3 linked regions of the Stegostoma tigrinum genome follow. The protein of the gene in region 3 interacts with the protein of the main gene of each other region in a pairwise test. Links are inferred from orthologs where the notes say so. Each region holds a gene or a part of one and is shown on either strand. Other genes may lie near its edges.

The links.
Region 1: the proteins of nup58 (region 3) and mis18a interact in binary tests that used the Homo sapiens proteins (3 or more experiments, as listed by UniProt). The link is inferred for Stegostoma tigrinum from reciprocal best matches to the Homo sapiens genes NUP58 and MIS18A.
Region 2: the proteins of nup58 (region 3) and homeobox protein PKNOX1 interact in binary tests that used the Homo sapiens proteins (3 or more experiments, as listed by UniProt). The link is inferred for Stegostoma tigrinum from reciprocal best matches to the Homo sapiens genes NUP58 and PKNOX1.

The regions. Positions count from the first base shown.
Region 1 is NC_081365.1:24,796,247-24,803,304, forward strand, and holds the start of mis18a (protein Mis18-alpha), read right to left. Parts: upstream 3,060-7,058; 5' UTR 3,018-3,059; coding exon 2,834-3,017; intron 1,578-2,833; coding exon 1,514-1,577; intron 1-1,513. UniProt on the Homo sapiens protein: Required for recruitment of CENPA to centromeres and normal chromosome segregation during mitosis.
Region 2 is NC_081365.1:428,698-436,106, reverse strand, and holds the start of homeobox protein PKNOX1, read right to left. Parts: upstream 3,089-7,409; 5' UTR 1,742-3,088; coding exon 1,713-1,741; intron 1-1,712. UniProt on the Homo sapiens protein: Activates transcription in the presence of PBX1A and HOXA1.
Region 3 is NC_081359.1:76,632,955-76,640,744, forward strand, and holds the start of nup58 (nucleoporin p58/p45), read left to right. Parts: upstream 1-4,788; 5' UTR 4,789-5,105; coding exon 5,106-5,173; intron 5,174-7,790. UniProt on the Homo sapiens protein: Component of the nuclear pore complex, a complex required for the trafficking across the nuclear membrane.

The sequences.
Region 1 (7,058 bases), on a different chromosome or scaffold from region 3:
CTACTGGTCACAGTTCTCCATTTTGAGAAACTTCCTTCCACTACAACTGTCCGTCTCCTGTCGCCCAGCCAGTTCTCTATCCATCTAGCTAGTATACCCTGGATCCCATGCGGCTTTACTTTCTCCAGCCTATCATGGGGAACCTTACCAAACACCTTACTGAAGTCCACGTACATGACATCTACAGCCCTTCCCTCATCTATCAACGGAGCAGGCTCAAAGGGTTGAATGACCTAATTCTACTTCTCTATCTTATGGTTTTAGTGCTGGAAAGGTAACATTATTCATTGGCGCCCGGTTTTGTTTAGACTACCCATTCTTTTGGAAGATTTTGTAGATTGTTTGTCATTTTTACAGGACACGAGATTAACATGTTACTATGTTTACAGAATCCCAGACATTGTATTCATCCAATTCTGGCAACTGACATTTTATTCATCAAGTCCATCCACAATGAATAGGATATTGCATCCTTTACAGTATTTCCAATAGTTTGCTGAATTGTATTTCTATTCCATTGTCAAAGAAGTGACCATATGTCTGCTATCAATGGACATACACTAAAATTGCTAGCTATATCGCCGGCATCCTCTAAACAGAAGGAATGAACACATTTTTTAAAATCCAAAAGGAAATCAACCTCCAACCTAGCCAAATCCAAAGACTTTAATGCTGGGTCAATAATCCCTGTGCCAGTTGAAAAAAGTAAAAAAAGTCTGAGCTTCATAGAAATTTGAAGGATGAAAATACCTGGAGTTACTGCAAACATATGTTTAGTGCACAAACGCACTGGAATGAAATGGAAGAATTTTCCTTTATGGAAAAAGGTTAAATGAAGAAAATTAGAACACTGCTCAGTAAAATAGATTCTTTGTAACAGGGAACACATGCTATTTTGTTCAGTTAACCTATAAGACCTATTTTCTGAACATTCTGCTTTAATGATGCCACAAGGAAATGTCACATTGGTTGCAGTTGAAAAGTCACTTGCAACATCGATCTGACTCTATAAATGGAATATATTTGTCCAAATTTTGCAGTAAAAGGCAAACAAACAGTGCCACAATTCACTAAGCAAACAACTGTCCACAGATATTTTAGTGGATTTTCATGCAGTGACTCGAAGCAATTAAAAATCTATTTTGGTGTGGCACTCTGCATAGTGGATCTGAGACTAGCTGAAGGAGCATGTGTCCAGGAAACTGAAGAGTTTCAACCAAGGCACACAGAACTAGAAGGCCCAAATTTGAACTTTTTATTAAACAAATGTTAAATCATGTGGAGAAGAGAAAAGAAAGATGGAATTAAGAGACAAAGATAAAGCCAAAAGAAAACAATTTTTCCAAAAATAATTTCAAACAATTAAAAACTAAAGGACTATGAGCTTACAGAAGCATAGTTTAATTGCTATAAAAGATTTGATAGAATGAATGGACTTTGTTGCATCCACCACATTTAAAAAAGACTTTCCTTCACTTGTACTCAAAAATCTGCACTAAGTCAACATACTTACCAACCAGACTCATCTGCAGTGTCTACCTTCTGTTCTTTGTCTACTTTGATATTGTTAGTAACACCTAGAGAAGAGCAACAGGTTATCAGCTTACGAGTCTAAAATTCAGGTACAATGACCAGCTGCCTACAAAAGGCCATGTTCTTTGTGCATTCAACCACCTAAAATATTCAATATCAAAATAAAAGTGGATCTATCTTTAAAAGACAATACAATATCATGTATGACACTTTAGAACCTCACCTTAAAAACATATCTGAGGAAGTAACCTTCTTATCCCTGTTACTCTATGATCCTGACAAGAGTCAAGCAAAGTTATAACTTAAATATACAAAATAAATATCAAACTTCAATTAGATCTGGCACACAAGCCATTCTACTATGGCTTATCCAGCAGCCACAAAGGTTTGAAGTGATTTCAACAAAATTCACAGTGCTTACATGAATGGTGTTCCCGCACACAAAGTTGTATGCTTAATTGGCTTTTTTTTAAAATAACCATTAGTCAACTTGGAAATACAGTGCTCATTAAAGTATGTAATCACCACTTGTGAGTATGACTTTTCCCCATCCCTGCTTCACCATTAGACTTTCCAACATAAGGAAAACCCACACAGTCATATTAGCAGAGACTTAAGGCAAATTTTAGTATCTTTATCTATTCAATTACATTTATTTATATATTTTAATACAAAATTAACTATGAGGAGAGTAAAATATATTGAGACTAATGAATGAGAAAATTGCTGCAGATATTGGAATCTTTACTGGCTCCATCCCCGCCCCTTTAACTTGTCTGTCTCCTCTCCACCTATCATCTCCTCTAACCATCTTCGATCCGCCTCCCCCTCTATCCCTATTTGTTTCCGAACCCTCTCGTCCTCCCTTTTTTCTGACGAAGAGTCTGTGCTCCTGATATGCTGCTTGGCCTGCTGTGTTCATCCAGCTCCACACTTTGTTATCTTGGATTCTCCAGCATCTGCAGTTCCCATTATCTCTGTTTCAATTTCTTGTTCAGATTTGTTTTATTAAAGTCTAAATTTCAAACATCAAAAAGTGTCATTTAACCACCTTGTGCATCAATTTTAAAAACTTAAATGGTTCCCCCCCACCCCAAATTTCCAGCATTAATGCAGGAATTCTCTCAAGCACTCTCTGTGGACTGGGCATCCTAAACCAATTCTTCCGCCCCCAATCCCCACAACACACTGGGACACATACATCTCCCACCTCCCCCCCTTCAAGCCATCCCCACAAAACACCGGAACACACCCCCCTCCCATCCCCCCGGGCTAGGGGACAACTCCACCCCCCACTCACTGCTCAGATAGATCATGTCCTCTTTCGGGTTTGCTCCGACCCAGGCCAGCGAATCTCCCACCGGTAGCCGACACTGTGAGCAGAGGAAGACGGCCGGCAAATCCGAGTCACCGCTGATGAAAGTGCCCGAATCCTTGTTGTCCGTTTCATCGTCCGTTACCAAATCCACCGTCACTCCCGCCATCTTTCAAATCACTGAGCAGGCGCAGAGAGCGTCTGCAGCCGGCTACACGCCTGCGTACGAAGCCACCCTCACCGCAATGTGCGCGCGTGCGCAGCCCTGTCCGGCGTGTCTCGTCCCTGTTTGTGGAAAGTCGCAGCGCAGTTCTCGTGAGTCCACCCCCATCGCACCTGGCCAGGGATGGGCAATACTATGATAAAACACAATGTGAGCAGACCAAAATAGTTTTTAAGAAGGGTCACTGGACCTGAAATGCTAACTCTGTGTTCTCTCCACACATACTGACAGACTTCATAAAATCCCAACAGTGGGGAGAGAAGACTTTCAGCCCATCGAGTCCACAATGACTCTCCATAGAGCATCTGAGCCAGACCCAGACTAATTTACCATGGCTAATCCACCTAGCGTACACACCCTGGACACTGCAACCACTGCAATAAGATGGCCGATTCACCTAACGGGCATAGCTTTAGACTATAAGAGGAAACCAGAACCACAAACAGAAACTCACACAGATGCAGGGAGAATAGGGAATCTAATAAAAAAAACATGCAAACTCCACACAGGCAGTCATCCAAAGCTGGAATCAAACCCAAGCCCCTGGCATTGTGAGGCAGCAAAGATAATCACTGAGGCACCATGCTATCCCACCACGGTGACCTGTTGAGCTTCTCCAGCATTTTCTGTTTTCCTTTCAGATTTGCAGTATCCTCACTTTGTTGTTTTATATTGGCTGTATTAGTTGTTTTCCTGGGCATCATAAAACCAAACAGTTCTGCTATAATGCATGTTCTGGCAATGCGAATTGTTTATAATGCGACTGACAAATCAGGGAACACTATTTCTAAAACGTGAACTTGTGGTGGCTATAATGCAATTCCATTGGTGTACAGATGACCTTATTGGTGATGTTCAGGAAAATATTTTTAGAAAATATTGTAGGGGAAAAAAAATCAGATCTCAGGATTCTCCTCATTCTGGATAATGCGCCAAGCCATCCTCCCGCCATTGGTGAGGTTTCTGAAAACATCAACGTTCTATTTCTACCACCAAACACAACCTCTCTCCTTCAACCCAGGGACCAGGGTGCAATAGCAGCTTTTAAGCTTATTATTTCAGACGAACATTTCAGTGGCTGATTGCAGCCACTGCGGTGGATGAGGACAGTGTTCCTCAATGTTGGAAGAGCTTTAACATCGAGAATGCAGTTGACATTATCGCGGATGCCTGAGGTGATGTCAGCAAGGACTGTTTGCATGCAGTTTGGTGGAAGTTTCTTAGATTTTTTTCAAGATTTTAAAGGCTTTGATGCGTTAGAGGAGCTCTCTAGAATCAAAGAACGTTATGTTGAATTTGCAAAGCACGTTGGATTTGAAGAAGTGGAGAGTGAGATGTTGAAGAGCTGCTTGAGTCCCACAGTGAAGACTCTCTACAGCTGATCTACAACAACTTGTCGCTGAGGGGGAAATGGAAGCTGGGGATGAAGAAGGTGAAGTCCATGATGCAGCACCACGAAAGCTTTCCACTTCTGTTTTTTCTTCTATCCTGAGGGAAATTGAGAAGCAGTTGCACCTGTTAAAGGACAATGAATACATTGCTGAATGCAGCAGGGTAGCAGTTCAAGGAATAAGACCTTACTTGGCAGCATATGAAGAGTTTCTTCATGAAAGAAGAAAAAGGGCAAAGCAGCAAATACTGGATATCTTATTCCCCCCAAGAAACAGTCAGAAGACAATGAACCACATCCATCCACTTCTGGATTAATTATTTTTTGCCCAAACCCTGCAACCACAGCTGCACCTGAAGATCATGATGATTACCCTCAGCGTCTGCATTAACAACACAGCAACCTCAAAACCTACTCCCCCATCAAGTCATCTTGACATTTTTTAAAGGGAAGGTGTTAAGTTTACTTTTATTTTTTCATTTAAACTGTGCCATCCTTTGTGAAAGGCTTTTGAGTGATTTTCAAATGATTTTGAGTGATAATTTTGGTAGTTTGCCTCAACTCCACTTTTCTCATAGATCCTGTTATTTCTATAGCACGATTTTCTATAATGTGACCATGCAGGGGAACACAGACTACTATGTTATAGCAGAGCTGACAATTTGTAGGGTGTTTTGTGTCAGACTGAATGCTTGTCAGCTATCTATCTTGAGAATGCTCTCATCTAGGGCAAAGACGAGGGACACCCTGGCCTGCCCACACATCACAGTCCTCCATTCGGACTTCCCAGTTTAGTTAAGTCATATAACGAATGCACAGAGCTACAGTTGGCCTGGTTTCAGGATGTTCCAGAGAAGTGACTGTTAAGATCAGTCCACTCTGGGTTTTTATTGTCAGCGTTTATTAGCCGCCACCTTTCGAAAGTATCCACCAGGCAGAGGAGATAGTCACACATTGTTGTAAGTGCCACATCGTGTTCATGCCTGTGGGCCCGCATGCTGCAGGTCCAAGGCAGAAACCTCCTCTGTGTTCCTCAGAAGGTGAGCCTGGGGCCATGAAGGACCTAGTTTCTGTGTGTTACCAAGGCGATGCATGGCTGAGGTATTGCCAATGGAGAAGCTGAGTGCTGATGGATTTACATTGCTGTTATCCTAGACAAATACAGCTGCCTCAGCACTGACTATAAAAGAGGTTTCTCCCTGGTGTCCAGCAGGGTGAAGATGCAACCCTTGAAGATTTTCATTAATAACAGAAATATGTCCTCATATCATCATCAACTGTACTGCCTATCTATATCAAGGATGTGAAGGTGCCAGTGTTGGACTGGGGTGGACAAAGTCACCAGGTTATAGTCCTTCGGAAGGCAGCCCCTTAACTGCACCTGATGAAGGGGAGATGCTCCAAAAGCATGTGTGATTTCAAATAAATCTGTTGAACTATAACCTGGTGTCATGTGACTTCTGACTTTGCCCATATCAAAATCAACAATTCTGTGACAGCGCAGGCGAGATGTGGAGGTATTGTAAATGGACTATCTAATCCAGAGACACAGGTAATTTTCTGGTGAACCAAGTTTGAGTCCCACCACAACAAATGGTGAAATTTGATGTCGATGAAATCCAGAATTAAAAGATAATCATTAAACAATTGTCAAGAAAATCCCTATCTAGTTTATTCATGTCACAGAATCTCTGCAGTGCAGAAGGAGGTCATTCAGCCTATTGAATCTATAATGACCCTCCAAAGAACATCTCACCAAGACCAAGTCCCAACCCTATCCCCACATTTACCATGGCTAATCCACCTAACCTGGATGCCCCTAATTCTGAGGAAGGGTCGTTGGACTCAAAACATTAGCTTTGATTTCTGTCCCTAGGTGCTGCCAGACCTGCTGAGCTTTTCTAGCAATTTCTGTTTTTGTTCCTAAAGATGAGGTGTTACCCCAATCCAGGGGAGATGATTGTCTAATGGTATTATCATTGGGCTGTTAATCCCAAGACCCAGGCAGTTGGTGGAGTTTGAATTCAATAAAAAAAACTGGAATTAAGAGTCTAAAGGTGACCGTGAATCCATTATGGAATAATGCATTTGGTTCACTAACGTTCTTTAGGGAAGGAAACTGCCATCCTTACCCAGTCTAGACTACATGTGACTCCAGACCCATACCCACAGCATTGTGATTGACTCTTAAATACCCTCTTGGCAATTATGGATGGGCAATGTATCCAATTATGGATGGGAAATAAATAGCAACCTAGCCAGGGATGCCCTCATCCTGTGAATGAATTAAAAGAAAACCTGGTGAAAACACAACACAGGATGACTTGTACAAACAGCTAAAACTTTAAGTGATAAACAGAGCTAAGCAATTCCGTTTCCAACAAATCATACTGAAGTTCAGTAGTTCTGTAGTCCACATCTAGTCATGAGTGTTGGTAGACAATTAAACAGCTCAAACAAAGAGGAAAAGACTTTAGAAGTATCTCCATTCTGGATGATTGGAGTTCCCAACACAACATTGCAACAATTTTCATCCAGAAGTGCCAAGTGGATGCTCCATTTTGGTCTCCTGCACAGATCCCAACATCAGAGATGCC
Region 2 (7,409 bases), on a different chromosome or scaffold from region 3:
GCCCAACTATCTTCAGCTGCTTCATCAATGACCTTCCTTCCATAAAAGGTAAGAAGTGGGAATGTTCGCCGATGATTGCACAATATTCAGCACCTATCATGGCTCCTCAGATACTGAAGCAGTCCTTGTTCAAATGCAACAAGATCAAGACAATATCCAGGCTTGGGCTGACTAGTGGCAAGTGATACTTCTGCCCTTTTTGACATATATTAATTAGACTTCGGGGAGCCAAAGCACAATTTCAAAACATGATGATACAGAATGTGAAAACTTTGTGATCTGAGGAGGACAATGTAGACTTCAAAAGAATACCAATAAATTGGTGAAGTGAACCGGCAGGTGGCAGATGAAGTCAAATGTGAAGAAGTGTGAAGTGAATCATTTTCGTAGGAATAATATAGAAAAACAGTGGTGGTATTGTTCTAAAGGAGCCGTAGGAGCAGAGGAACCCGGGAGTTACCTGTACATAAATTATTGAAGGTGGAGAACAAGTTGATGCTGGTTAACAAAGCATTCAGATTTCTATGCTTTATCAGTGCACAGAGTACAAAAACAAGCAAACTGTTAAACTAGAGCAAAATACAGATTCCATCTGATCTGGAGTATTTTGGTGAGTTCTGTGCATCACATTTTAGTTGGTATGCAAGTACAGCAAGTAACTAGAAAGGCAAATGGAAATGTTATAATTTAAATGAGATAGAATATAAAAGCAGAGAAATCTTGCTGCACTGTACGGAGCATTGCTGGGACCACGGCTAGACTACAGTGCACGGTTTTGGTCAATATTCTTAAAGAGAGATATATGTTTATTCAAATGCATTCAAAGTAGGTGTATTTGTGTCATTCCTGGCATGCAGACTCAGTCTTTGACGAATAGCTGAGCAGGTTGGACCTGTATCTATGAGAGTTTAGGGTACTGTGAGGTGATAAGACCTGACAAGATAGATGCTGGAAAGATGTTTCCCCTTTTGGAAGAATTTAAAACTGGAGATCACATTTTAAAAGTTAGAAATCTCACATTAGGACAGAGATAATGAGAATTTTTTCTCAGTAGTTCATTAGTCTGTTGAATGCTCTTCCCAGAGACCAATGAAGGCTGGGTCATTGAATCAGTTCAAAGGATATTATATCAATTTTTGATCAGTAAGGGAGTCAAGGGGGAGATGGGCAAGAGGGCATATAGGAAAGTAGAGTCAAGACCATAATGAGATCAGTCATGATCTTGATGAATAGTGGGGTAGGCTTGACAGACTGAAAGGCCTACTCCTGATTTAATTTCTTATCATTTTATGTTCCAATTTACAGAATGGCTACTACACCAGAATTGAAAGCATTACTCCAAGTGGTGGCTAATTAGGTGCTATATAAATTTAACAATAATGTGGTTTTGTATTTCATTCTCCCAGAAATAAACTCCAGTATTAAATACTCTAAAGCCTCACCTTTGTATATTTGCATTCACTTGATTCATTGTTCTTTAATCCTATTTATTTTTCCTTTACCAAAGAATAAGCAGCTCCTTTATTCTTTTACCAACTTGAACAGCCTCATTCTGTGTTAAATTTAATTTGTCATTTATCACGCATTTCGCAAAGGGAAAAAGCAGGTAACTCTAGGTCAGTTACCTTAATGTCTGTTATTATCGAATCATACAGTACAGAAACAACCAGTCCATGCTGACCATAATCCCAAACTAAACTAGTCCTACCTACCTAAGCTTGGGCCATTTCCCTTCAAACATTTCTCATCCATGTACTTATCCAAACATCTTTCAAATGTTGTAAATGTCCCTGCATCCACCACTTGCTCTGGAAGTTCATTCCACACACGGACAACTCTGTAAAATAAAAATGGTCTCTCATGTCTTTTTAAATTCTTTCTCTTTTAACCTTAAAAATATGCCCCCTAGTCTTGACAGCCTCCATCCTAGGGAAGAGACGTCTGCCATTCACCTTACCTATCCTCCTCATGGTTTTATACACCTCTTTAAGGTCACCCCTCAACCTCCTTTCTCCAATGGAAAAAGTCTCAGCTTACCTAGCCTCTCCTTACAACTCAAACACTCCATTTTTGAGAAGTTGTTAGACTGTATTATAAAGGATGTAATAGCAAAGCATATAGAAATATTTTGACGGTCTTAGCGAAAACTTGTCCCTCGGGTTGTGAATGCAGTTGCCTGTTAACTCGCTGAGCTGGTTGTTCTGTGGTGTGCAGATGTTTCGTGACCATTCTAGACAACGTCATCAGTGCAACCTCTAATCAAAGCTTTGGTGTTTTGTTCTGTTCCGAATTTATATATGATCCTCTGGCATGGTGGGTCTTGTCACTTACGGTTCTGTTTTTTAGCAGCGGTGTATACACAGTGTCTATTGCTATGTGGTTGTTAATGGGGTCCTGTGTTGAGAACCAGGCTTCCAGAAATTCCCTTGCATGTCTGTTGTTAGCTTGTCCCAGTATAGTCACTTTGTCCCAGTTGAACTGATGGCCCTCATTGGCTGTGTGTAGCAAGACAAGTGAATATCGGTCGCGTCTTTTACTACCAGCTGGTGTTTGTGCATCCTGGTCGTCAGTTTCTTCATTACACTTGATTCATTTAATTCTGTATATCACGTTAATCCTGTTTGCTGTTGGTATGGGGTCTTTAGTCTTTGATAGCATTTGACGTAGTGTTGATGTAGATTTGTGTACAATATAATCTTATGAGGTCTCAGTACTCTGGTTGTCATTCCTGATATATTTGTGATGTATGGTAGCGATGCTGGTGTCTTCTTTTGTACTATGTTCTCTGACTGTTGTTTGTTTTGTAGGTGAAACTTCTTGGGTATTCGGATTTCTTGGTTGTTGCAACATATTACGGCTTGTTTAAGTAGCACCTAAATGCAGAGTTTGCGTATGGTGGGGTGGTTGCTATTGAAGTTAAGGATTTTGTCCATTTGTGTGGCCTTCCTGTACACTTCATTTCGGCATTAGTTAGTCTCTCTACCATTCCGTCGAAGAATGGGAGCTGTTTAAGTACTGATAGAACTGCGGATGCTGTAAATCAGGAATAAAAACAAAAGTTGCTGGAAAAGCTCAGCAGGCCTGGCAGTATCTGTGAAGAAAAAAAAGCAGATTTAACATTTCAGGTCTGGTGACCCTTCCCAAAACATGAACATTGATTTTTTTTTTTCTTCACAGATGCTGCCAGGCCTGCTGAGCTTTTCCAGCAACTTTTGTTTTTGAATGGGAGCTGTTTGTTGTTTTCTTTGCGTCTAGTGAATTTTATGCTTGCAAAGATGTTGTTAACGAGTTGGTGGGTTTTTTCAACTTTTGTGCATTTGATTATTATGAATGTGTTGTCCACTTATCTCATCCACAGTTTCAGCTGGATTACAGGAAGGGCTGCGATATCCAGTCTGTGCATCACTGCTTCCACAATGAGACCTGATATGGGTGATCCCATCAATGTGTCGTTGATCTGTTTGTATATTTGGCCAGTGAATGTGAAGTGCGTTGTGAGGCAGAAATCTAGTATTTCAGTAAGCTGTCCTTGCTGAGGTTGTCGTTCGTGTCCCAACTCAAACTGTGGATAATATAAATGGACGACACATTTGTAATAATCAAATGCACAAAAGTAGGGAAAAAACCCATTAACTTGTTAACAACATCTTCGCAAGTATAAAATTTGCTAAAGAGGATGAAAACAACAAACAGCTCTCATTCTTAGAGGTAATGCTAGAGAGACTAACGGTGAATTCCAGACCCGTGTACACAGGAAGGCCACACACACTGACCTATTCCTGAACTTTAATAGCAACCACCCCACCATACACAAACAGAGCTGCATTAGGACATTATTTAAACAAGCCGTATCACACTGCAACACCCCAGATCTCAGGAGAATGGAAGAGGTACACCTGCACAAAGTTTTCACTGACAACAGATACGCAAGAAGTTTTGTCCGCTGGGGCCTACAAAACAAATGACAGTCAGAGGACACGGTACAAAAGAAGACACTAGCATCGCTACCCTACATCAAAAATATATCAGAAGTAACAACCAGACTCCTAAGTCTGCGTAAGATCATTAACTGCACACAAACCTATTTCAACACTATGTCAAATGTTGTTACAGACTGAAGATCCCATACCGACTGTAATCAGGACTAATGTGATACACAGAATCGCATGCAGTGAGTGCAAAAACATTAAATTGAACAAATGGGGAGGATACCGATGACTGGGATACACAAACACCAGCTGGCAGTAAAAAGACATGGCCAATATACACTTGTCTTGATACACACAGCCAATGAGGACATCAGTTCAACTGGGACAAAGTGACTATAGTGGGAAAAGCGAACAACAGGCATGCAAGGGAATTTCTGGAAGCCTGATTCTCAACACAGGACTCCATTAACAAATACATAGAAATAGACCCCGTGTACACACCACTGCTTAAAAACAGAACCGTAAATGACAAGACCTACCACACCAGAGGATCTAATAAATTCAGAACGAAGCAGAACACCAACATTTTGATTAGAGGTCGCACCGATGATGTTGTCTAGAATGGTAATGAAACATCTGCACACCATGGAACATAACTGCTTATAGAAATATTGAATACGATATGCAGAATCAGCATGGGTTCATGAAAGGGAAATCATGCACATAACGTATTTGGATTTACAGAAGACATTGATAAAAGGCCACACTTCAGGTCAGCTAATAAGCCAGTCATGTTGTACGTTATGTATTAGTACTGACAGAGGATTGGCTAACTAAGACGGAGATTTGCGATAAGGGGGCAGTTTTGGGATAACAACCTGTAACAAGTGGTTTGGCGTAACAAGTGGAATCAATGCTGGGTCTGCAATTATGAGTAATTATGCTGTAGCCAAATTTTCAGATGACACAAAAATAGGTGGAAAGGCAAATGGTGTGGATGACACAAAAAGTGTCTATAGCGGAATATAGTCAGATTAAGTGAGTAGGCAAAAACCTGGCAGATGGAATATAATTTGGGAAAATGTGGAAACCGTTACCACTGAGGGCTGTCAAGTCTGGGCCATTTAGCGTATTCAAGGCTGAGATAGATTTTTAAGCAGTAAGGGAATCAAGGGTTATGGGGAAAATGCAAGAAAATGAAGCTGAGGGTTAACAGATTAGCTATGATCTCACTGAAGTAAACCTAACAGGCTGATTGGCCTTCTTCTGCTCATATGTCTTATTAAATCTATTTGCCTTCTTGTCATTTGGTATCATTTCCACGTCTACTTTCAACTTGGTATCAAACTGCTAATTTCACAATCACATCTCCAGCTGCTCGATCCAAATAATTTCTGCAAAGTATGGTGTATAACTGTAGCTCCTGAAGGATAACACTTGGTGCCAAAATAAGAAATTTCAACTGCTAATCTGTTCTCTTTTCTAATCTTCCAATCCAGAATGGCCTATGTCAACACCGCAGGGATTCTATGACTCGACACACTGTGGCCTTCATTGTGCAGCACCTGTTTGAAATTAGCATTAGGCAGACCAGATTTTCAAAAGTCAAAACTGGGGCTGACATAAAAATTTGGGAAGTTCAGACTTTGTGATGACTGACATGTTGGGCAACCAATGCCAGGATTTTATGGAGCAGTATTTAAACGTGAGTGATCATGAGAAGTCATTTCCCAGAACACATCCAACCAGAGTTGGTCTTTAAAAGTTACATCAACAATACAGTTGGCAGAGTGTGAAGGTTGTGACAACCCCTTGAAGACACTGAAGGAGACACAGGGGCAGGGATACAGAGGTGTTGTGTGCAGAGAGGGGTGTTTCAGTAATGGTCTGCAAAAATGCACACAGATTTTCAGTCCACAGATCTGTTTATATTTGACAAAATGAGAAAGTGAAAACAGGAACATTTTCTTATTAAGAAATTGCCAAGGCACTGAGCCATTTGATGAAAAACTGGAAAGTCATGCAAACTACAATTATTGCAATGCCCGTTAACTCTTTGTTCATTGCCTACTTCAAAAAAAAATCACTAAAGTTGACAAATCTTTGGATATCCTTGTGGATAATGATGGATATCAAAAAGTGAGAGATAATATTTTTGCCAAAAGAATCGATGTGGAAGACACTTATTGATTTAAAGTTGTTTTCAAAGGGAATTAGATGAAGAGTGGACGAGGAGAGTTTTCTGTCTGATGCCAAGAATATTATTTCCTGATGTTTTGATTTCAGTGCTATCTGTATAGATGCCATCCAGCCTGGCACAATAAGCCTGTTTTAATGCTTTAACCATTTAGCGTCCTCACACAGCTTTTGTCTCTCAGCTCAGTTTGAGTTTCACTGTAATTTTTAATCAGGATGTAGTTTATTGTTGAATTACAGTGTGCCTGGGCTATAAATCCTGGGCCTGTCCATTAGGCTGCTGCTTGATGCCCAAACCCGGGCTGGAGAGCGCACAAACCACTGCTGCTTTTTAATTAAAAAAGAAAAAAAAAGCACCCGACCGCCCCGCCGCCATTGTCCAATTGCGCCATTTTCCAACCAACCAGGAAGCTCCGCGGGACTGCGCCCCGCGACCCACCCCCGCTGCGCGGTCCCGTCACCCCAGCATCAAAGACGGGCACGCGCACGAGCGCGCCTCACCCTCTCTCACCCCTACCCCGGCCCCGCCGCCATCCGCAGGCGGCGACACAAAGGGAAAGGCCCCGGGCTGGGCCGAGGTTGGTCGCCGCTCCCGTTCTGAGTGAGGACGGGCTGCGGGAGCGGGTGGTTTGTTCCCCCAGCCCTCCGTCGTGCCCCGGGCCCGCTGGGCGGGAGGCGGGCAGCCAGGCGGCGGCGGCGGGAAGCGGGGCCGGCCGCGGGCGCTGACTGACAGCTTACCTGAATGCCAATCTTCATCAGACTGACACCTCGCTGCAGCAATCAGCCCCACACAGCGCACTACGTAAGCACGTACACGCCGCGCCATGCGCCCCACAGCCGGCACGCAACCTGCTGCATATTCATCAGGGGCTGGGCGGTGCTGCCCCAATGCCCCGCCTCCCGCAATGGACAGACCGCTGCATATTCATCAGGGGCGGGGCTTTCGCTCGTCTTGTCCCCGCTTCCAGTCCCGGCCCCTCCCCCGACCCCATCCCAATCCCCACGCCCACCTCCCGACCCCCACCCTTGGCATCCACACCCCTACCTCCCAAAGACCACCCCAATCCCCACCCCCACCCTTGGCATCCACACCCCCACCTCCCAAACACCACCCCAAAGCCCATGCCACCCTTAGCATTCACACCCCGACCTCCCAATCACCATCCCCACCTCCCAACTCCCACCCTTAGCATCCACTCCCCTACCTCCCAATCACCACCCCAATCCCCACACATACCTCCCAAACACCACCCCAATCCCCACACCCACCCTTGGCATCCACAC
Region 3 (7,790 bases):
ACGTTTCGAGCCTAGACCCTTCATCAGAGAGGGGGATGGGGAGAGGGAACTGGAATAAATAGGGAGAGAGGGGGAGGCGGACCGAAGATGGAGAGTAAAGAAGATAGGTGGAAAGAGTGTTGGTGGGGAGGTAGGGAGGGGATAGGTCAGTCCAGGGAAGACGGACAGGTCAAGGAGGTGGGATGAGGTTAGTAGGTAGCTGGGGGTGCGGCTTGGGGTGGGAGGAAGGGATGGGTGAGAGGAAGAACCGGTTAGGGAGGCAGAGACAGGTTGGACTGGTTTTGGGATGCAGTGGGTGGGGGGGAAGAGCTGGGCTGGTTGTGTGGTGCAGTGGGGGGAGGGGACGAACTGGGCTGGTTTAGGGATGCAGTAGGGGAATGGGAGATTTTGAAACTGGTGAAGTCCACATTGATACCATATGGCTGCAGGGTTCCCAGGCGGAATATGAGTTGCTGTTCCTGCAACCTTCGGGTGGCATCTTTGTGGCACTGCAGGAGGCCCATGATGGACATGCTTCAGGACATGGTCAAGCAGTTTCAAGGCCGAAGAGATTACAAGAGAGTTGCAATGGGAGAGAGATTCCCTGAGGTTGGTCCGGAGGGAGGAGGGTAAATGCTACACCTGTCCCCACACCTTCTCCCTCACCCCCATCCCAGGCCCCAAGATGACATTCCACATTAAGCAGAGGTTCACCTGCACATCTGCCAATGTGGTATACTGCATCCACTGTACCCGGTGCGGCTTCCTCTACATTGGGGAAACCAAGCGGAGGCTTGGGGACCGCTTTGCAGAACACCTCCGCTCAGTTCGCAACAAACAACTGCACCTCCCAGTCGCAAACCATTTCCACTCCCCCTCCCATTCTCTAGATGACATGTCCATCATGGGCCTCCTGCAGTGCCACAATGATGCCACCCGAAGGTTGCAGGAACAGCAACTCATATTCCGCCTGGGAACCCTGCAGCCATATGGTATCAATGTGGACTTCACCAGTTTCAAAATCTCCCCTTCCCCTACTGCATCCCAAAACCAGCCCAGTTCGTCCCCTCCCCCCACTGCACCACACAACCAGCCCAGCTCTTCCCCCCCACCCACTGCATCCCAAAACCAGTCCAACCTGTCTCTGCCTCCCTAACCGGTTCTTCCTCTCACCCATCCCTTCCTCCCACCCCAAGCTGCACCCCCAGCTACCTACTAACCTCATCCCACCTCCTTGACCTGTCCGTCTTCCCTGGACTGACCTATCCCCTCCCTACCTCCCCACCTACACTCTCTCCACCTATCTTCTTTACTCTCCATCTTCGGTCCGCCTCCCCCTCTCTCCCTATTTATTCCAGTTCCCTCTCCCCATCCCCCTCTCTGATGAAGGGTCTAGGCCCAAAACGTCAGCTTTTGTGCTCCTGAGATGCTGCTTGGCCTGCTGTGTTCATCCAGCCTCACATTTTATTATCTTGGCCGAGATCTTAGTTTGTTTGTATAATCCCATTTAGATTTGCAAGTAAATCCATTTAAGAAAACACCAGCAAGACATGAGTCTTAAACAAGATGAAGGTTTGTTTATTACAAAACATTGCTTCAAGTTCCTTAAGTAAAAGTAATAAAGTAACTTTATTGAAATAAAATTCAAGTCAGATTTTTATGATATTGTTGCAGGTCTGTACTTTGCAGGTAAATGTTGGTTATCTGAAGTGAGGGTTAAAATCAAAGAGTTATAATGTCTTCTGAAATAAAACAGTCAGAGTTTAACTTTGTAGGTTCACTCAAAAGTTGGACAAATTGGCTGAGCAGTTTAAGGAAGTGAGTAAAGGGCTTCTTTTTACTAGTTCTGGAACAACAACATTTGAAAACTATTGGGATTTCTTTTCAACAGAACAGGGATGGATTGCTGAACACCTTCCTCAATAACTTACAGTGAGTGAAAACCCAACTCTCACACGCAAGTCATTTTGTTCAATCGAGAACTGTGGCCTGCAGCTGTCTTCACAGGTTCTCCTGAGATCTCTGTGCACAATGACTGACTGCATCCCATCCAGACCCTTTGTTTTAATTTGAATCAATCTGTTTTGATACATTATGAGAGATCTCTGGAACAGGTAGGACTTGAACACTTGCCTTCTGCCTCAGGGATAGGAACACTGTCACTGCACCACAAGAGCTTCAGACATCCAGACTATCTGATCCAAATCAGCCGTATTCCAAACATTTGAATCGTGCTTCCATATTAGACATTGGGTTAGCTCATGTCTGAAGCATAGTCCCATTCATTTCTTTTAACCTTTTAACTTGAGACAATTAAGAAGTTAATTTGAAGAGCTTCCATTCTTCTAGGTTTGGTGAGATAGGATAGAGCTATTTAGATACCCAGGGAAGTTATTGTCAATGAGTTTCTATTTGTCCTGATGGAAAAATTAATTAAAAGTTAAACACTAGTGATGCTTTTTGAGAAAAGTCCAATCAGTTTCCTCCAGCTGGCTAATTGAAGTTGAACTCACGAGAAGTCGTGTTACCTTTTGGTATACATGTTTGAAAGCTCGTGTATCCATTTTTTAAAGTACAATAGTTTGTTACAATCTATATAACATGTTTCTGACAAAATAAATTAGCACTTCCTTGGAAACAAAAATAAATTGCTGGAAAGCCTAAGTAGGTCTGGCAGCATCTGTGGAGAGAAAGCAGACTTAACAACTCAAGTCCAGTGACCCTTTTTGCGAACTGTAGCACAATTGTTATATGTGCTAAAGATGGTATCAGGGGAGGAGTAAGTGATCAATGGTGGTGGAGCCCGAGAGAGAAAAAACACTAATGGGCTGACAGAGGAATGGGTAAAGGCAAGCCTGAGAGAATCAATAGCTGCTAATGGGGAACTTTAATGGCTGACAATGGGTAGCAGCCCACGTGATGATAATGCCTGATGTGCAGGGGTTGGGGTAAGGACATGAGAAAAGGGTTTTAACCCCTTCAATGATTGAACTTGATATTGAGACCTGAGGCTGCAAGAAATGTTGTTCTTTCCTGTTTTCACTGAACTTCATTAAACACTGCATTAAGCCCAAGACAGAAGTTAGCCAGGGAACATGGTGAGGTGTTGAAGTGGCAGGCAACAGGAAGCTCGGTGTCAGAACGTAGGTATTCTGCAAAGCAGTTGTCTAGTCTACATTTCATCTCCCCTGTGTACAGGAGATCATAACTGTGAGCAGAGAATACAGCAGTCTAGATTCAGTGAAGTGCAAGTAAATTACTGCTTAATTTGGCAAGTGTGTCTGGGGCCTTGGATTGTGAGGCAGGAGAAGTAAACAGACAGGTGTTACACCTTCTGTGATTGCATGGGAAGGTGCTGTGGGACTGACAGCAAAGGTCCTATGAGCTGAAGTGATATTAAGTACAAAGGAAGATTCTTATAATTGTTGGAGCCTTGGTCACCCCGCAGACATGTCCATAATCACAATTACATCACATCCTTGTACAACTGTTTGCACTTTTTATTTGTCTTAGTGCAAATGCTCTGTGTATTCAACTAAACACCTCTGACATTTAAAACAAAATTGTATGCTAGCCTATTTGTTGTTAGCCCTTGTTTCCCCTGTCTTCCACATTTCTATTTCTCATTTCCATCTTTGTTTCCCTCAGTCTTCCTTCCCCACTCAGGTTCCTGTCCTCTTGCCACTCGAGTTTAAAGACTTCCCTATGTACAAACAAATGTGAGCATATTGATGCCATTTCTGCAGTGGTGCAATTTATCCAGCTTGTACAGGTCTCTTCTTCTCCAGAATTGGTCCCAATGCTTCAAGAATCTAAATCCCTTTCTTCTACACCATCCTTCTGCCACACAATCATTCGGTCTATTTGTTTCATCTCCCCTTGGCCTTCTCAAGAAAAACACCCAACAGCTCCAATCTATCCTAACTGAACTTTCTTGTTGGAGGAACTATTTTCATAAGCCTCTTCTGCACGTGCTTCTTAAAGTGTGGTATTCAGAATCATAGACAATAGTCCAGCCGAGGTCTAACCAAGTGTCTTATATAAATTCAGCATATCTTAATCTATGGCCCTTTTATTAATCTTTTAAAATTTTATATGTTTTATTAACTGTTCCTGTCTGTTCTGTCACCTCTAATGACTTAAGCATTTTACACCACAGCCTCTCTGCTCGTACACAATCTTTGGAATAGTACCATTTGCTTTATAAGGTCTCTCCATGTTCTTTGGATCAGTTTTCCACATGAAGCAAGGACATTGGGGACATTTAAGAGACTGCTGGACATGCATATGGTCACAGAAATTTGAGGGTGCATACATGAGGATCAATGGTCGGCACAACATCGTGGGCTGAAGGGCCTGTTCTGTGCTGTACTGTTCTATGTTCTATATCCAGTCAAGCAGATTGATTGAGCTTCGTTCTATCTGACATGGCTGAAGAGTTCAGCTTACATTTTTGTGCTCAACAACCGACATAGAGATTGAACCCAAAACTCTGAAATCTAGAGATAAGAGTTACACCAATTGGCCTACGAGAGCCATGTTTTTTCCCACCACCTTAATTATATTTTCCCACATCATTCTGAAGAGAGTGTGTTTGAACGTACCCACGTCTCCGACCGTAAATGGTCCCCCAAATGCCCTGGTCCTCCCATACCTTCACTTTCAACGGGTCATCCTAAACATTGGCCTCATCCCCCTCACAATGCCCTATGACACTGATCTTCCCATCCTCTCACAACCAAAATCTTCCTCCATCAACGCATGTCCCCTCCGTCTAGACCCTTGCTGACTGAGTCTTCCTCCGTAATCCTCCAGTATCCCAACATGCCGCAGCTGGAAGGCCGGTAACTTCCTCTCCTGCTGACCCGAGCCGCAGTTAACCCGCGGAATCGATGATCAGTTTAAAAGGAGTGAGCGGAAGCTACTTTCACCTATCAATTTCTCCCGGTTTAACGGCAGTTTCGATCCGGTAGCTAGCTTGCTTTTAAAACAGTTTTTTTTGTTTATCGGATGGTGTTTCCTCTGTGTGTGGGAGGGAAGCTGGTTGTGACCACGAGAAAGCGGCGTCTTCCGCACCAGGGCACTACAGAACTAAGGCCACGGTTCAGCTCGTCCAGAAATACAGGATGACAACTGGATTTGGTTTCGGTACCACGGCCGGTAACACTGGCGGCTTCACTCTCGGAGTGTCCAGGTAAATACCTCATGGCGACGTGTCTGTGGCTTTTGTTCCGTTTCATTTAAGCTGAGAACTGATGGGTTGAGTTTATAAGCAAACTTGTGTCCGAGTTACAAAGTTACCTAAGTCATGCCTTCCACAAAATAAATAGCATGACTTGTTCCGATAAGTCAGTACACATTGTTTGTGATCAATTTTAAAATCATCTCAAGTTCTCCAGTTTACTGATGGTCTTAGTTTTTATCTCAAGTATTGTGCGTTTTGTGAATTATTGCACCAGACTTCTTATTGTGCATTAAATTGTGTTAAACTTTTCCCATAGTAATCGTTGGCGAACAAAACAAAGTCATTCGAGGCGTTGTGCCCATGCTTGTAAGAGCTTTGCTAGTCCGCTCCCCATATTTACTTGGATAGTTTTTTTTATCCCTTCAAATAATTTTCTGAGATTAATAAGGTGTAGAGCTGGATGAACACAGCAGGCCAAGCAGCATCAGAGGCTGAAGAAGGGTCAAGGCCTGCAACGTCAGCCTTCCTGCTCCTCTGATGCTGCTTGGCCTGCTGTACTCATCCAGCTCTACACCTTGTTATCTTAAATTCTCCAGCTTCTGCAGTTGCTACAATCTTAGAAACAATTTTCTGAATCTCTTTCGAAAGTCACTACTGATTCAACCTCTGCCATAGTCACAGGAAATGCATTCCCGGAACTAAATAATTCATTAAGAGTACCACTTGTATCCCCCTAGTCCTCACAGATCACCCCACCAACCTCCGGATACAATGCATCATCCTCTGACACTTCTGCCATCTACAATCTGACCCCACCACCAAAGACATTTTTCCAACTCCACCCTTGTCTGCCTTCCAGAGAGACCACTCTCTCCGCGACTCCCTTGTCTGCTCCACACTCTCCTCCAACCCCACCACACCCAGCACTTGCCCCTGCAACTGCAGGAACTGTTACACCTGCCCCCACACCACCTCCCTCACCCCCATCCCAGGCCCCAAGATGACTTTCCACATCAAGCAGATGTTCACCTGCACATCCGCCAATGTGGTATACTATATCCACTGTACCCAGTGTGGCTTCCTGTACAAGTGGAGGCTTGGGGACCGCTTTGCAGAACACCTACACTCGGTTTGCAATAAACAACTGCATCTCCCAATCGTGAACCATTTTCACTTCCCCTCCCATTTCTTAGACGACATGTCCATCCTGGGCCTCCTGCAGTGCCATAATGATGCCACTCGTAGGTTGCAGGATCAGCAACTCGTATTCTGCTTGGGAACCCTGCAGCTCAATGGTATCAATGTGGATTTCACCAGCTTCAAAATCCACCCCCCCATCCCAAAACCAGCTCAGCTCATACCCGCCTCCCTAACCTGTTCTTCCCCTCACCTATCCCCTCCTCTCACCTCAAGCCGCACCTCCATTTCCTACCTACTAACCTCATCCAAGCCCCTTGACCTGTCCGTCCTCCCCAGACTGACCTATCCCCTCCCTACCTCCGCGCACACATTCTCCTCTCCACCTATCTTCTCCTCTATCCATCTTCGGTCCGCCTCCCCCTCTCTTCCTATTTATTTCAGAATCCTCTCCCCATCCCCCTTTTCTGATGAAGGGTCTAGGCCCGAAACGTCAGCTTTTGTTCTCCTAAAAATTCTGTTTGGCCTGCTGTGTTCATCCAGCTCCACACTTTGTTATCGCTAGGTCTTTACCATTCGCCTCACTTCTATGACCCCTTCTTCTTGATCCCTCTGCCAATATAACTGTTTTTAATAATCAAATTTGTCCATGTCCCTTATGATAGAATCAATCACACAATGCAGAAACAAACCCATTGGTCCATCTTGTCTGTGCCAACCAGGCATCCCAATCTGACCTAGTCCCATTTTTACCAGAATTTAGCCCATACTCCTCTAAACCTTTCCTATTTTCACAGCAATCGAGTTGCTTTTTAAAAGTAGTAATTGTACCCGCCTCCACTACTTCATCCCACAGTTCGTTCCACGCACTCTCCACCTTCCACGTGAAAAAGTTACCCCTTGGGTCCTTTCTAAATCTTGCTCTTCTCACCTTTAAACATATGCTCTCTAGTTTTGGACTCCCCACCCTAGGAAAAAGACCTTGGCTATTCACCCTCCCAGCCCCTCTTAATTTTATAAACCTCTACAATGTCACTCCTTGGCCCCTGATTCTCAAAGGAAAGAAGCCCCAGCCTATTCAGCCTCTCCTTTTAAGGAAACCCTCCAGTCTTGGTAACGTTTATATAAATCGTTTTTGTACCCTCTCAAGTTTAACAACATCTTGGAATGGAGACTAGAATTATATGCAGTATTCTAATAGTAGCCTCACTAATGTCTCCCTTTTGTCAACAGTTCCCAGGTATTAAACAATTCTGATCAAAACTCTTGACAACCTTTACTTTTCTAAGGAAAACCTCAGTTTTGCTGTCCTGTCCGTATAACTGAAGTGTCAGACTTGTAGTCATTCCTGTAAATCTTTTCTACACTCTTGGTAATGTTTCCCATCTTTCTTGTATAGATTTGACATTCACATTTGTTCATGTGGAATGTCTGTATGTTTGTAAGGATTCTGTTGTATTCCATTTTGAAACAACTGAAGCACTATAAT